Cricetulus griseus: one gene and its partners. The protein of the gene in region 2 interacts with the protein of the main gene of each other region in a biochemical or structural test. Links are inferred from orthologs where the notes say so. Each region holds a gene or a part of one and is shown on either strand. Other genes may lie near its edges. The genes, in order: Ctnnd2, Dlg1 and Vangl1.

Region 1 (3,653 bases), on a different chromosome or scaffold from region 2:
CCTCTCTTCTTGCAGCCTGGGTTCCGAAGGCTCTGGGCGCAGAAGTTGTCCTTTGCAGCCGGGCCGGCGGGAGGGCGGGCGTGTCGGGTGGGCGTCTGCTTCTCCATCACTGAGCGCGCGTGTTCTCTGTTCTCCCGGCACAGGGCACAACCGGTCGCGCGGGGCACCTGGCGGGGTCCGAGCCTGCGCCTCCGCCGCCACCTCCGCGGGAGCCCTTTGCGCCCAGCCTGGGCAGCGCCTTCCACCTGCCCGACGCGCCTCCCGCCGCCGCCGCGCTCTACTACTCCAGCTCCACTCTGCCAGCGCCGCCGCGCGGGGGCTCCCCGCTGACCACCACGCAGGGCGGCTCGCCCACCAAGCTGCAGCGCGGAGGCTCGGCCCCTGAGGGTGCCGCCTACGCTGCGCCGCGAGGCTCCTCGCCCAAGCAGTCGCCCAGCCGCCTGGCCAAGTCCTACAGCACCAGCTCGCCCATCAACATCGTCGTGTCCTCGGCCGGCCTGTCCCCGATCCGCGTGACCTCGCCCCCCACCGTGCAGTCCACCATCTCCTCTTCGCCCATCCACCAGCTGAGCTCCACCATCGGCACCTACGCCACCCTGTCGCCCACCAAGCGCCTGGTCCACGCGTCCGAGCAGTACAGCAAGCATTCACAGGAACTGTATGCCACGGCTACCCTCCAGAGGCCGGGCAGCCTGGCAGGTAAGGGGGTTGGCTCCCTGGCGCAACTCACCTGGACGCATGTCGGGGTACAGCGGGGACTGGATCCAAGCAGCAGGTCTGGGCATGCCTCGGGGCCAGTTTTCAGATTCTGGGGCTGTGAGCGATGTCAGGGCTTGTCTGGAAAGAAGGTCAGCATCCTTGTTCAGGTGTGCCCATCATGTGGTGTCTCTGCCGCTAACACTCGCCTGTCTTCCCTCTTCCCTACCCGGAGTCTGAAGACTTAAACCGAGCAACAAGGTTAATTTAGTAGGACCACATAGACCTGTTGCTTGCATCCAGAAAGAAATCCAGTTACTATCCCAGTGGGTATGATCAGAGTTAGCTGGCAGAGAAAGTTAGATTTTTTTTTTCCCAAAACCAGATTCTGAACTTACATAGGTTATAACTGTAAAGAAACCAATAGGGAAGTGTGTTCAACATGTTTCATATTTCTTAATAGGCGTGTGCGGAGTGGGGAGAGTTGGACTAGAGTTTGGGGGTGGGGGTTGCTTTTCTTTGTCAGTACAGAGAGGTGACATTTCTGTGGTGCCTGTCCCCATCACAGACTAGGCTGAGCTGGTGAATCTGCTGTTAGTAACATATGCTCAGCTTAACAAGACACCGTGATTGCAAGACTAATGTTCCCTCCTTAAACACCTGACAAGTAATCTGGATTTATTGCCTATTTCTTCCCTTATAGAAGTATTGGTAATTTTGTGACTCTAGTAACAGATGCTGTGCTCATATGTTTCTTTTTTTGACACAAATAGATGAGTGTGAAGATAAATAGGATAAAAAAAAGGGAACTTGTTGCAGGCACAAGGCAGGTGGCCAAGGGCATCTTTAATTCAAATACTGTAATTGCCAGCATGGACTAGCCTAGCTTAGCGGGATGCAGGCTGGGATATGCTATCTACAGAACTGTGTGAGGTGAGTTTACAGAACTGAAAATAATCACTATCTCTGCTTTGCCTGGAGAGTGACATTTTGGAGGTAGACCATCATTAATGCCCAAATATCTCAAATGTAGCTGCTAATTTGAAGAACAGCCTGGGAAACAGGCACCAAACTAAATTTATGAGATCAGACCAAGAAGAAGCAAAGAAGTTGAAGTTATAGGAGACTGAAGTTCAGGAATACCCCCACCCCACCCCACACACCAGCTACTTGGAGAAGCTTCAAGGAGTCCTGATCCAGGGTCCAGACTACTAAAGACCATATTTCATTTCTGAGTTTACTTGAGGAAAGGAAATATGAGTGTTGTTGTTGTTTGTTTGTTTGTTTGGGGGTGGGGTTCCCAGCTCTTCTGTCACCTGCTTATGTGTGACAGACATATGCCTGTCACATTGCAACACTGCAGTGAAATGGAGGATGTTTCCCTCCAGGCAGATATATGTGTAGGATCTTGAAGAAAGGTCTAAAGAAAGGACCTTTGCTGCTGCTGCTACTACTACTACTACTGGTGGTAGTGGTGGTGGTATTCTTCTTGTTGTTGTTGGTGGTGGTATTCTTGTTGTTGTTGGTGATGGTAGTGGTGTTGGTGGTGATGGTAGTGATGTGTGTGTATGCATTTAAGTTTCTATTGGTTAGAGCTGGGAACACTTCTCTGTTTCTCTGGCCAGAAAGAGGACTCAGTTGACCAGCACATTCCCTTCCTTCTGTTCCTCATATTTTCTGGCCATATCTCATTTTTGCTACCTAGTGAGAAAAGATATTCAATGTGATATTGAAGAGTCTTAATTTTAGAGTTGCAACGAACATTTTAAATGTTTGAATTCATTTGTTTAACATACATGTTAAAATATTCATCTAGAGATTTCTTCATGCAAATTGATACTGGTGGTTTTGAGTTCAAAATTATCCTGTCATAGTGTGTGAACATTGGGTTTAAATAAGATTTCATATTCCACTTAGAAAACAGGGACCCATGGCCTGTAGGAGACAGACTGTGGTCTGTGTGAACTCACAGACTTCAGAGCTTTCATGCTCTGATGCCCTGTGTTTGCAACCATTCCAAGCATCACAAAGTTGGGAGTCACCCCATCTACTAATTGGAAGATCACAAACACATTGAGGTTACAAAATATATTTTGTCTCAGCAGAGCTGGGAATTGGGAGATCTGCCCCTGACCACTAAAGTATCAATAGAGGGTAGTGACACCCATTAGCAACTAATTTCACATTCTTTCCCTATGTATCCCTTGTGTGCCACCACTGGTTCAGTCTCTGGAGATTGCATAGTCCCCAAAATCTCTAACCACCTCTCAAATATAGAGGACATAAAATTATTTAAACAAAAACTTTCAATAGGGTAGCTAAAGAAGTCCATAATGAGCAGGTGACTTTTGAGTGTTTCCTCAGCTAGGCCTGTGGATGTTAGAGGAAGGGTGCTGTGACAGAAGAAAAGTGAGTTTGAAGGTTGGGGACTAGGAGTGTGTCTGGTGTGAACAGTGGGGAAAGCAGGAGGAAGGCTTGGCCATGGGATGAGGTTAGACATTTGCCAAGGGGCTGGGGTAGAAGGATTAATAGATCAGGAAGGCCTCATAAGACAAGCCATTGAGAGCCGGAGCAGAAGTGACACAGCCTGGCTTAGTTTGTAGCAGGCTTCTTCTTGTTGATATATTAGGAATAAAATCTGTGGATCAAAGGCAAAAGGAAGAGTGTAATTTGGAAGTTATTACAGTAATGTAAGTTAAAGTTGATTGTGGAAACATTATACTTAATTGAAGGTGATAAACTGTGTGTGTGTGTGTGTGTGTGTGTGTGTGTGTGTGTGTGTGTGTGTGTGTGTGTGTGTGTGAGTGTGTGTTTGTGTGAGTATGTGTGTGTGCAAGGGGGCATGCCAATGTGATTTTCTCATGAGTTAGGTGATGGCTGTAAGAAAAAAGATTACCAATTAAACATAGTTTCCATGATGGAGATGGAGCAGTTTCCAGAAGCGCCTGAATAGAGCT
Region 2 (3,653 bases):
CACATAGTTGTTTTTCATTTATAATATTTCCAAAGTTCCTTTAATTTAAATTTCAGATGCCTTAATCTGAATCAAATCAAAATTATAGTGGTTTTTAAAAATCAAATATAGCTTTAGATAAATATACTCAGTTGGAACAGAAATAGTATTTTCTGTGGCTTCTTGGGTATTTTCTGTTTTGGGGTTTTTTTGTTTGTTTGTGTGTTTTGTTTTGTTTTGTTTTTATTGAGGCAGACTCACCTCATAGTCCAAGCTAACCTCAGACTGGCAATCCTCCTGCCTGAGACTCCAGTGCTGAGATTATAGGCAAGCAATCTCACATCCAGCCCTAGTACCTATTTATTGTAAATGTTTAGTGTCCCAGAGGAAGGAATTTTTGTTGGTTTCTGTTTTTGGTATGGGGAGGTTGTTATTTGGAGGCAGTTTTGTTGGTTTGGGTTTTTTTTTTATTTTGTAGTACTAGAGAACAAACTCAGGCAGCCTTCCAATAAATTAAATCTCCAGCAAGAAATGAAGATTTTAATGGATTTGATGATCTATAAATAAAAAAGCACATAATAGCATTAAGTTATGGAAAAAATAGTACATTTATGTTTCATCTTATATTTGTCAAATTTACCTTTATGGTTTAATAATTTCTCCTTTGTACTAAATCTTGCCGTGGATAATTTATGACATAGTACCTTTTTGTATGCCCTGTTCACGTCTCAGAAAGTCCTAGTATCTTGTGTGTGAGGAAATAGGTCAGTTGTGTGGAAGAGGACCACAGTGGCATCAGTTACCTTCATTTTCTTACCCTTGCTTTAACTCTCCATAGGTGGTCAAGAAGAATATGTTTTATCGTATGAGCCAGTGAATCAACAAGAAGGTTTGTGAAGTTTGTTAATGTTGTATAACCTTATTAAAAAGTGTATGTATGTATGTATGTATGTATGTATGTATGTATGTATGTATGTATTCAGGGCCAGTGAGGTGGCTCAGTGAACAAGGGTGCTTTCTGGCAGACATGATGACTTCATTTCATCCCTAGAAATGACATGTTGGAAAGAGAAGCAGCTCCCATAAGTTATCCTCTGATGTACTCATTCACACCACATCACACACAAACTTGATTACAATAAATTGATTGGTTAATTTAAAATAAAATTGAATATACTTCTTAGTTTGAAAAATCAGACTATTAGATGCAAAAATGTGTCAGAATTTTGCTATTTTAAACTATATATGTAGAAAATTGCTTTATGAATTTCAAGAAGAACTATTTAACCCACAGAATATTAGAAGCAACTCATTTTATATTGATTGTTTTTTATTGGTGATGTATTCCTAAGCCTGTATAATATCGTATCACTACCCTTGCAGTAACACTTTTTAAATGTCAAGAGACACTTTTAAACTCCTAGATTTTTATCCCTTTCACCCAGGCGGGTTCTAAGCTATTTTTATTCCTCACTGTATCTAATTCCTCCAACCACAATACTAGTCTGATGCTCACCACTGACTTCCTTCTTCAGATGACCTACTGTGTCCTCTGCTGAACTGTCTTTCTAGATCATGACTGCCACCCATCACCTCCTACAGCCACTTGGTCTACTCCATCTTCCTTCTCTGCGTTTAGTTTTTTACTTCAAAAACCACCAGTAAAACACCGTGTTTTGTTTTCTCTGTGTATTGAAATGTCTAAGATGCTAAATTTGACTTGATTGACTTCAGAGATTTTAATAATAATTTGTTTACAAGAGAACATAATGTTGAGAAGGAACAAAGAAGAGACACATCAGAATGGTTTTCTTCTGCTGAGCTAAAACACATTAGTGTTTGTTAAGTGTTTATTCCTTTTCATGTGTTTATCTTTGTAGTTAATTATACTCGACCAGTCATTATATTGGGACCCATGAAAGACAGGGTAAATGATGATTTAATCTCAGAATTTCCCGACAAATTTGGATCCTGCGTCCCTCGTGAGTAACCCAAATTTAAACTGTTCTAACACTTTCTGTCACTGTGTTTGGAGAAAGTAAATATAAGTGCTTTAACGAGTTAGAGTTAATTGTTTTATTAATTATTCCTTTGTCCTCAATATTATTTTCTCTTTTTTTTAAGATTTAAAAGTATTGTGTTAAACTTTTCAGAAAGCAATCAATTAAGTAGAGGATGTATTTATTCTGTTTTTAAATATGAAACACTTCCCCAAGTTCTTTTTTTATTGAAGATACAACTAGACCAAAGCGTGACTATGAGGTGGATGGAAGAGATTATCATTTTGTGACTTCAAGGGAACAGATGGAAAAGGACATTCAGGAGCATAAGTTCATTGAAGCTGGCCAGTATAACAACCATCTGTATGGAACAAGTGTTCAGTCGGTGCGAGCAGTAGCAGAGAAGGTAAGCACCAGAGCCCCCGGGCAGTTTCTAAGGAGGACACATACTTTTGACTTTTATTTGTATTAATAGAAGATAGATAACATAACCTTGATATTAATATTACTGCATTAGGTAAGTAAAATTTTTATTTTGAGTAGTTTAGAAAAATACATATGACAAGGCTGTCAAAAATCTGAAAATAAGATGATCAAATGCATCTGTAAAATGAGAGATAGTTATCTTAAGGGCTGTTTTAGAGGCAGACCTTATCCTACCTGAAGTCAAGTGTCCATGAGAAAAACTGACTAAGTTGTTAAGCATAGGGGCCAAAAAAGTCTCCCAAGTCTACAAAGACAGAGTAAAAATTCAAAAGTAATGTAACAAGTTTTGGGGTTTTGATTTTGTTTGGTTTTGGTTTGGCTTTTGTTTTTTGTTGTTGTTGTTTGGTTTGGGTATTTTGTGGTTTGGTTTGGTTTGGTTTGGTTTGGTTTGGTTTGGTTTGGTTTGGTTTGGTTTGGTTTGGTCTCTGTGTAGCCCTGGCTGACCTGGAACTCACTCTGTAGATCAGACTGGCCTCAAACTTAGAGTACTCAGGAGGCAGAGATCCACCTGCCTCCGCCTCCACCTCCTTAATGCTGGGGTTAAAGGTTCCAGACAACAAGAAGTTATTTTAAAACATTCTCTAATATATTGGTTAAAACAGTTTTTATAATGAAGTCAGGATTATGTGTTGATTATATCAATCTGTCCAGTGATTTCAAGGTCAGTCCAACAGTATCAAATCAGTCAGTAGGAAGCACAATAGAATAATTATCATCTTGAGGCCAGGCTGAACTATAGTGAGTTTCATACCAGGACCAGTGGTAGGTAGGCTAATAACTAATAGATAGGGAAAGTGGGTAAAAAGTTGTATTGATGAGTACAAACTCAGTACATATATGGATTATCACATTTAACCCTACTAATATGTGAAACTTCTGTCTGTTTAAAATTTCTCCATGTTAAAATCATCTTTGCCTTTGTAACTAGTTTCAGGGGTGACACTTTCTCAGTCTAGCCTAACCAGTCCAGGTTCAGTAAGAAAACTTATCTTAAAAAGTAAGGTTGAAAGCTAGGACAGCAGACTTTGGCCTCTGCCCTCCACATTCCCGAGCTTACCCATGCATGCACTACACACACCAGTGAGTAAAATACCAAGATCTAGAATGACAAAGCCTGAGGAACTGTGCCCAACTGATGACAACTCAGACACTGTAAGTAAATCCAGCTCGTATCCTGAATTGGAACCT
Region 3 (3,653 bases), on a different chromosome or scaffold from region 2:
GGACACTGGTCTATCATCTGCCAGTTTCAGTCAGCATCGAAAAATTTTTAAAAAATTCTTTATAAAATGACTCCCCCCAGACATATATATCTCTATATATATTCTTCTTTTGTTTTTCATAAAGCCACATATGTAGAACATTTAAACCGATGTTTCAGACTGTAAGCGAAGAACAAACTTGTGAGATTTGGGGTCTATGAACTCTTCAGAGAGTACGATGAACGGAATTTTCTTCACATTGACTACGAGGCTGAAGTCCAAGCATTTAAGGACGAAAACAATTCCATCCCGTAACCCGTTCGTCACGGCTTCGTCACTAATAAGTCTCCACTGTGTCGAGAGCCAGCGATCCTTGTCATACTGCAAGGTGGGGCCGGCGCTGAGGTATCTTTCAAGGAAAGCCTGAAAGCCAAAGGAAAACACGAGGGAAGTAAAAAAGGGCTGCTATGCTATGAGGCCAGGGGCCATCCTTTTAATCCCTAGGAAATGTTACCAATTACATGGAGACCTTAGACCAGAGTTCAGCATCTCATGCTGAAGCCCCATGAGACCTCTCTGGGGAGGGAAGACTACTTGGACTTCCTCAGTGGTTTTTAGGGTTTTTTGTTTTGTTTTGTTTTGTTTTGTTTTGTCTTTGTTTGTTGGCAATTTGCAACCAGAGGGTGAGGCAAGAGAAATGGAGTAGCTACCAGTGTTTATCAGAAGGCACTGCTAACGTGACATTTTACCTGCAGACACTGGCACCTCTGACACCTGCCTCCACCACTGCAGTAAAAGCTCCCTGAGGACAGCTCCCTGTACCTGGCACAGAGGTCTAGTCGAGTGAATCCAAGGCAGACAGACAATAACAGCCACAAGGACAAAACTGCATGCTCTACCACCTGCTGGCTGTGATGATGCTCAGTCATTTAACCTCTGTCTGGGTGGATACAACACCATTTCACTCTCTGGGCTACCACAAGCTGGAAGGGTTCAGTTCTCACAAAGCAGTTCCCACTGGAGCTCAGTGGGAACACTGTAACCGTTGGTTATTCTATGCAGAACTCAAGGCAGGTGGCCAGTTCTAGGGACAGACACACCAATGTCCCCTCCCCTCTCTGAGATAACCGAAGTTCTCTGATTCCACGACATCTTCCCACGTGCTATTCCTCCTTGTCCTTCACACCTTGCACTATCTTTGCCCCTGCTCAAATGGACTGCCACACTCTTCTGTCAAAGCTCCTGAAGCCACCTGGATGATCTCATGTCATATTTTACTTTCTGAACTATGACCAACTATGTCTCTTCCCCTCTAGGCTTCATGCTCATAGAGGGTAAGAACTACATCACCATTGTTTTCTTCTTTTGAAAGTGTGACTTTCTAGTTTATCTGGCACAAAATTAAATACACGAAACAGTTTAGTTGAGAGAAAGAATGAGCCAATAATATAAACTGAAAAACACTGGCATGTATCCATCTGGTCCTAGGCCGAGGTCAAGACATTTTCAGTTTTCAAGCAATCCTCTTTCGTAACTCCCCTACTCTGCTATGCAGCGCCAGCAGCTGTAGCCATGGTGATAGGTACACAAGAAGGTGCGGCTGGGTTCCAGTGAAATCGGAGTCACAGAAACAGGCAACCCCTGGCTTTGACTCATGAAACTTAATTCAAATGTGCACCAACAGACAAGCAGTTAGGCAAATCTGCTCCAGGTATTCCCAGGGAGCAAGACAGAGCTGCGTGAGTCAGGTGAGCATACATTGAAAGAAAGATCCAAGAAGCCTTGAGTGGAGAAAGCAGGTTTCCAAAATACAGACATGTCTAATATCAAAGCATTTCCACACTAGAACACAGACATGGTGGAGAGACCATACACTAGCCCATATCAGTAAGGGGGATATGGGCTAGGGGAAGTGGAGACCGGGAGGGGGGATTTCTAATAACTTTACTTATTTATTTATTCATTTATTTATTTACTTGTGTGTGTGTATGCATGTGTGTACATGCTCACGCACATGCATGACACAGCATGTGGATGACTAGAGTCAGTTCTCTTCTTCCAGTAGGTAGGCTCTGGGGCTTGAGCTCAGGCTTGGTGACAAGCACCTGTATCTACAGAGCCATCTCATCAGCTCAGGTTGTTTTGCTGTTTGGTTTTTGTTTCTGAAAAGGGTTCTGCTAAGCCCAGGCTGGACTAGAATTCACTACATAGCCCAGGGTAGTTATGAATTCATGATCTTTTGCCTCAGTCTTCCAAGCACTGTGATTACAATCATAAGTTACTATAGCTGGCTCAAAGCAAGAGCCTTCTACATTGGACATTTCTTTTTGTACAATAAACATCCAAGAAAGCATAAATTTTTAAAATGAAATGGGAAGAAATCAGACAACTTTAAGAAACCCTGAAGAAAGGAAAACAGCTGTCCCTTTTTCATGCCAGAAGTCATAATTCTGCACACAGGCACATAGTTTTGTATTTGAAACCTGTGTCCATGATCTGTTGTATTTGGAGTTTTGTAACTGAATACACAAACAAGTTCCCCCACCCCCATTCCAACAGATGATATACCACATAGCATATCAGAAACATTTGTAAATGATTTCCAGTTTGGAGTTATATAGGATATTCTAGGTGAGGGGCAATCCGCCTTCAATGTATAATTGTGAATATAGATAGTAATTGAAAAGCTGATTCCAGGACACTCAGTAACTTGCAGACATCTGTATACTGTAGAATCCATCATCTCTAGGTGACATACAGAATCTACTGCAATGTGATGATGCTAAGTAGCTGCTACACTATGTTGTTTATGGGACAGTGACAGGAAAGCTGTGTACTCACTCAATATGTCAGGAAAGCATGTGTGCGTGTGTGTGTGGGGGGGGGGGTGTGGGTGTGTGTGCTCAGTGTGACAGGAAAGCATGTGTGTATATGCTCAGGGTGACAGGAAAGCATGTGCACAGGCCAGCACAGGAGTGAAGGTTTCCACCCATAGCTGGCTGACTCTACAGATGGGGAACCCACACAGACAGAGAACTGATTATGGGCCTGACTGCTAATTTTCCTGGGCAAGAGACTACTGAGTCAAAGAGATGGAAAACATTAAAGTTTCTCACTGGATATTTCTGCCTGGCTTTTCCAAGTCAGAAGTACTGACAACTGTGGGAAGTGTAAGAGTAAGATGTCCTTAGGAAAAGAGCTATCAAATATTACCTATGCACCAATGCCAAGGTCATTCATGGGTCCACAGGATTCACATGCTATGTAACCTGACTTATCATTATTTCTTACACACCAACCCTGCAAAGCAGATACCCACCCTTTATATGGAGGAATCAAGTGTAGAAACAAACAAACAAACAAACAAACAAAAAATACATGTGCACAGCTACACACCAGCTGAGCGACTGGGGCGATGATCTGAACCCACCAGCTGCACCCACCCCTTCTCTTTTGGCCACAGTCCTCTATTAAATGACATTGATGGTTATTGTAATATCCATTCCTAAAGTGTACTGATGCCATAATCCAAAAGACTGCTCAGGAAACAAACTCTACAACATCCAAAATGGTGGCATCATTTCTACCAAAAAAAAAAAAAAAAAAAAAAAAGACAGCTACTAAGTTAGGCTGGATCAGATGACAGGTATAATTTTAACACTTCATGAATTAAC

Evidence for each region.
Region 1: the proteins of Dlg1 (region 2) and Ctnnd2 interact in a test that uses a peptide from one of them, tested with the Homo sapiens proteins (2 studies listed by IntAct, with this or other methods). The link is inferred for Cricetulus griseus from reciprocal best matches to the Homo sapiens genes DLG1 and CTNND2.
Region 3: the proteins of Dlg1 (region 2) and Vangl1 interact in a test that uses a peptide from one of them, tested with the Homo sapiens proteins (2 studies listed by IntAct, with this or other methods). The link is inferred for Cricetulus griseus from reciprocal best matches to the Homo sapiens genes DLG1 and VANGL1.

What each region holds. Positions count from the first base shown.
Region 1 is NC_048595.1:360,840,319-360,843,971, forward strand, and holds part of Ctnnd2 (catenin delta-2), read left to right. Parts: intron 1-143; coding exon 144-699; intron 700-3,653. UniProt on the Homo sapiens protein: Has a critical role in neuronal development, particularly in the formation and/or maintenance of dendritic spines and synapses. Involved in the regulation of Wnt signaling.
Region 2 is NC_048597.1:57,638,508-57,642,160, reverse strand, and holds part of Dlg1 (disks large homolog 1), read left to right. Parts: intron 1-817; coding exon 818-868; intron 869-1,859; coding exon 1,860-1,961; intron 1,962-2,212; coding exon 2,213-2,385; intron 2,386-3,653. UniProt on the Homo sapiens protein: Essential multidomain scaffolding protein required for normal development. Recruits channels, receptors and signaling molecules to discrete plasma membrane domains in polarized cells.
Region 3 is NW_023276806.1:54,795,775-54,799,427, reverse strand, and holds part of Vangl1 (vang-like protein 1), read right to left. Parts: intron 403-3,653; coding exon 142-402; 3' UTR 1-141.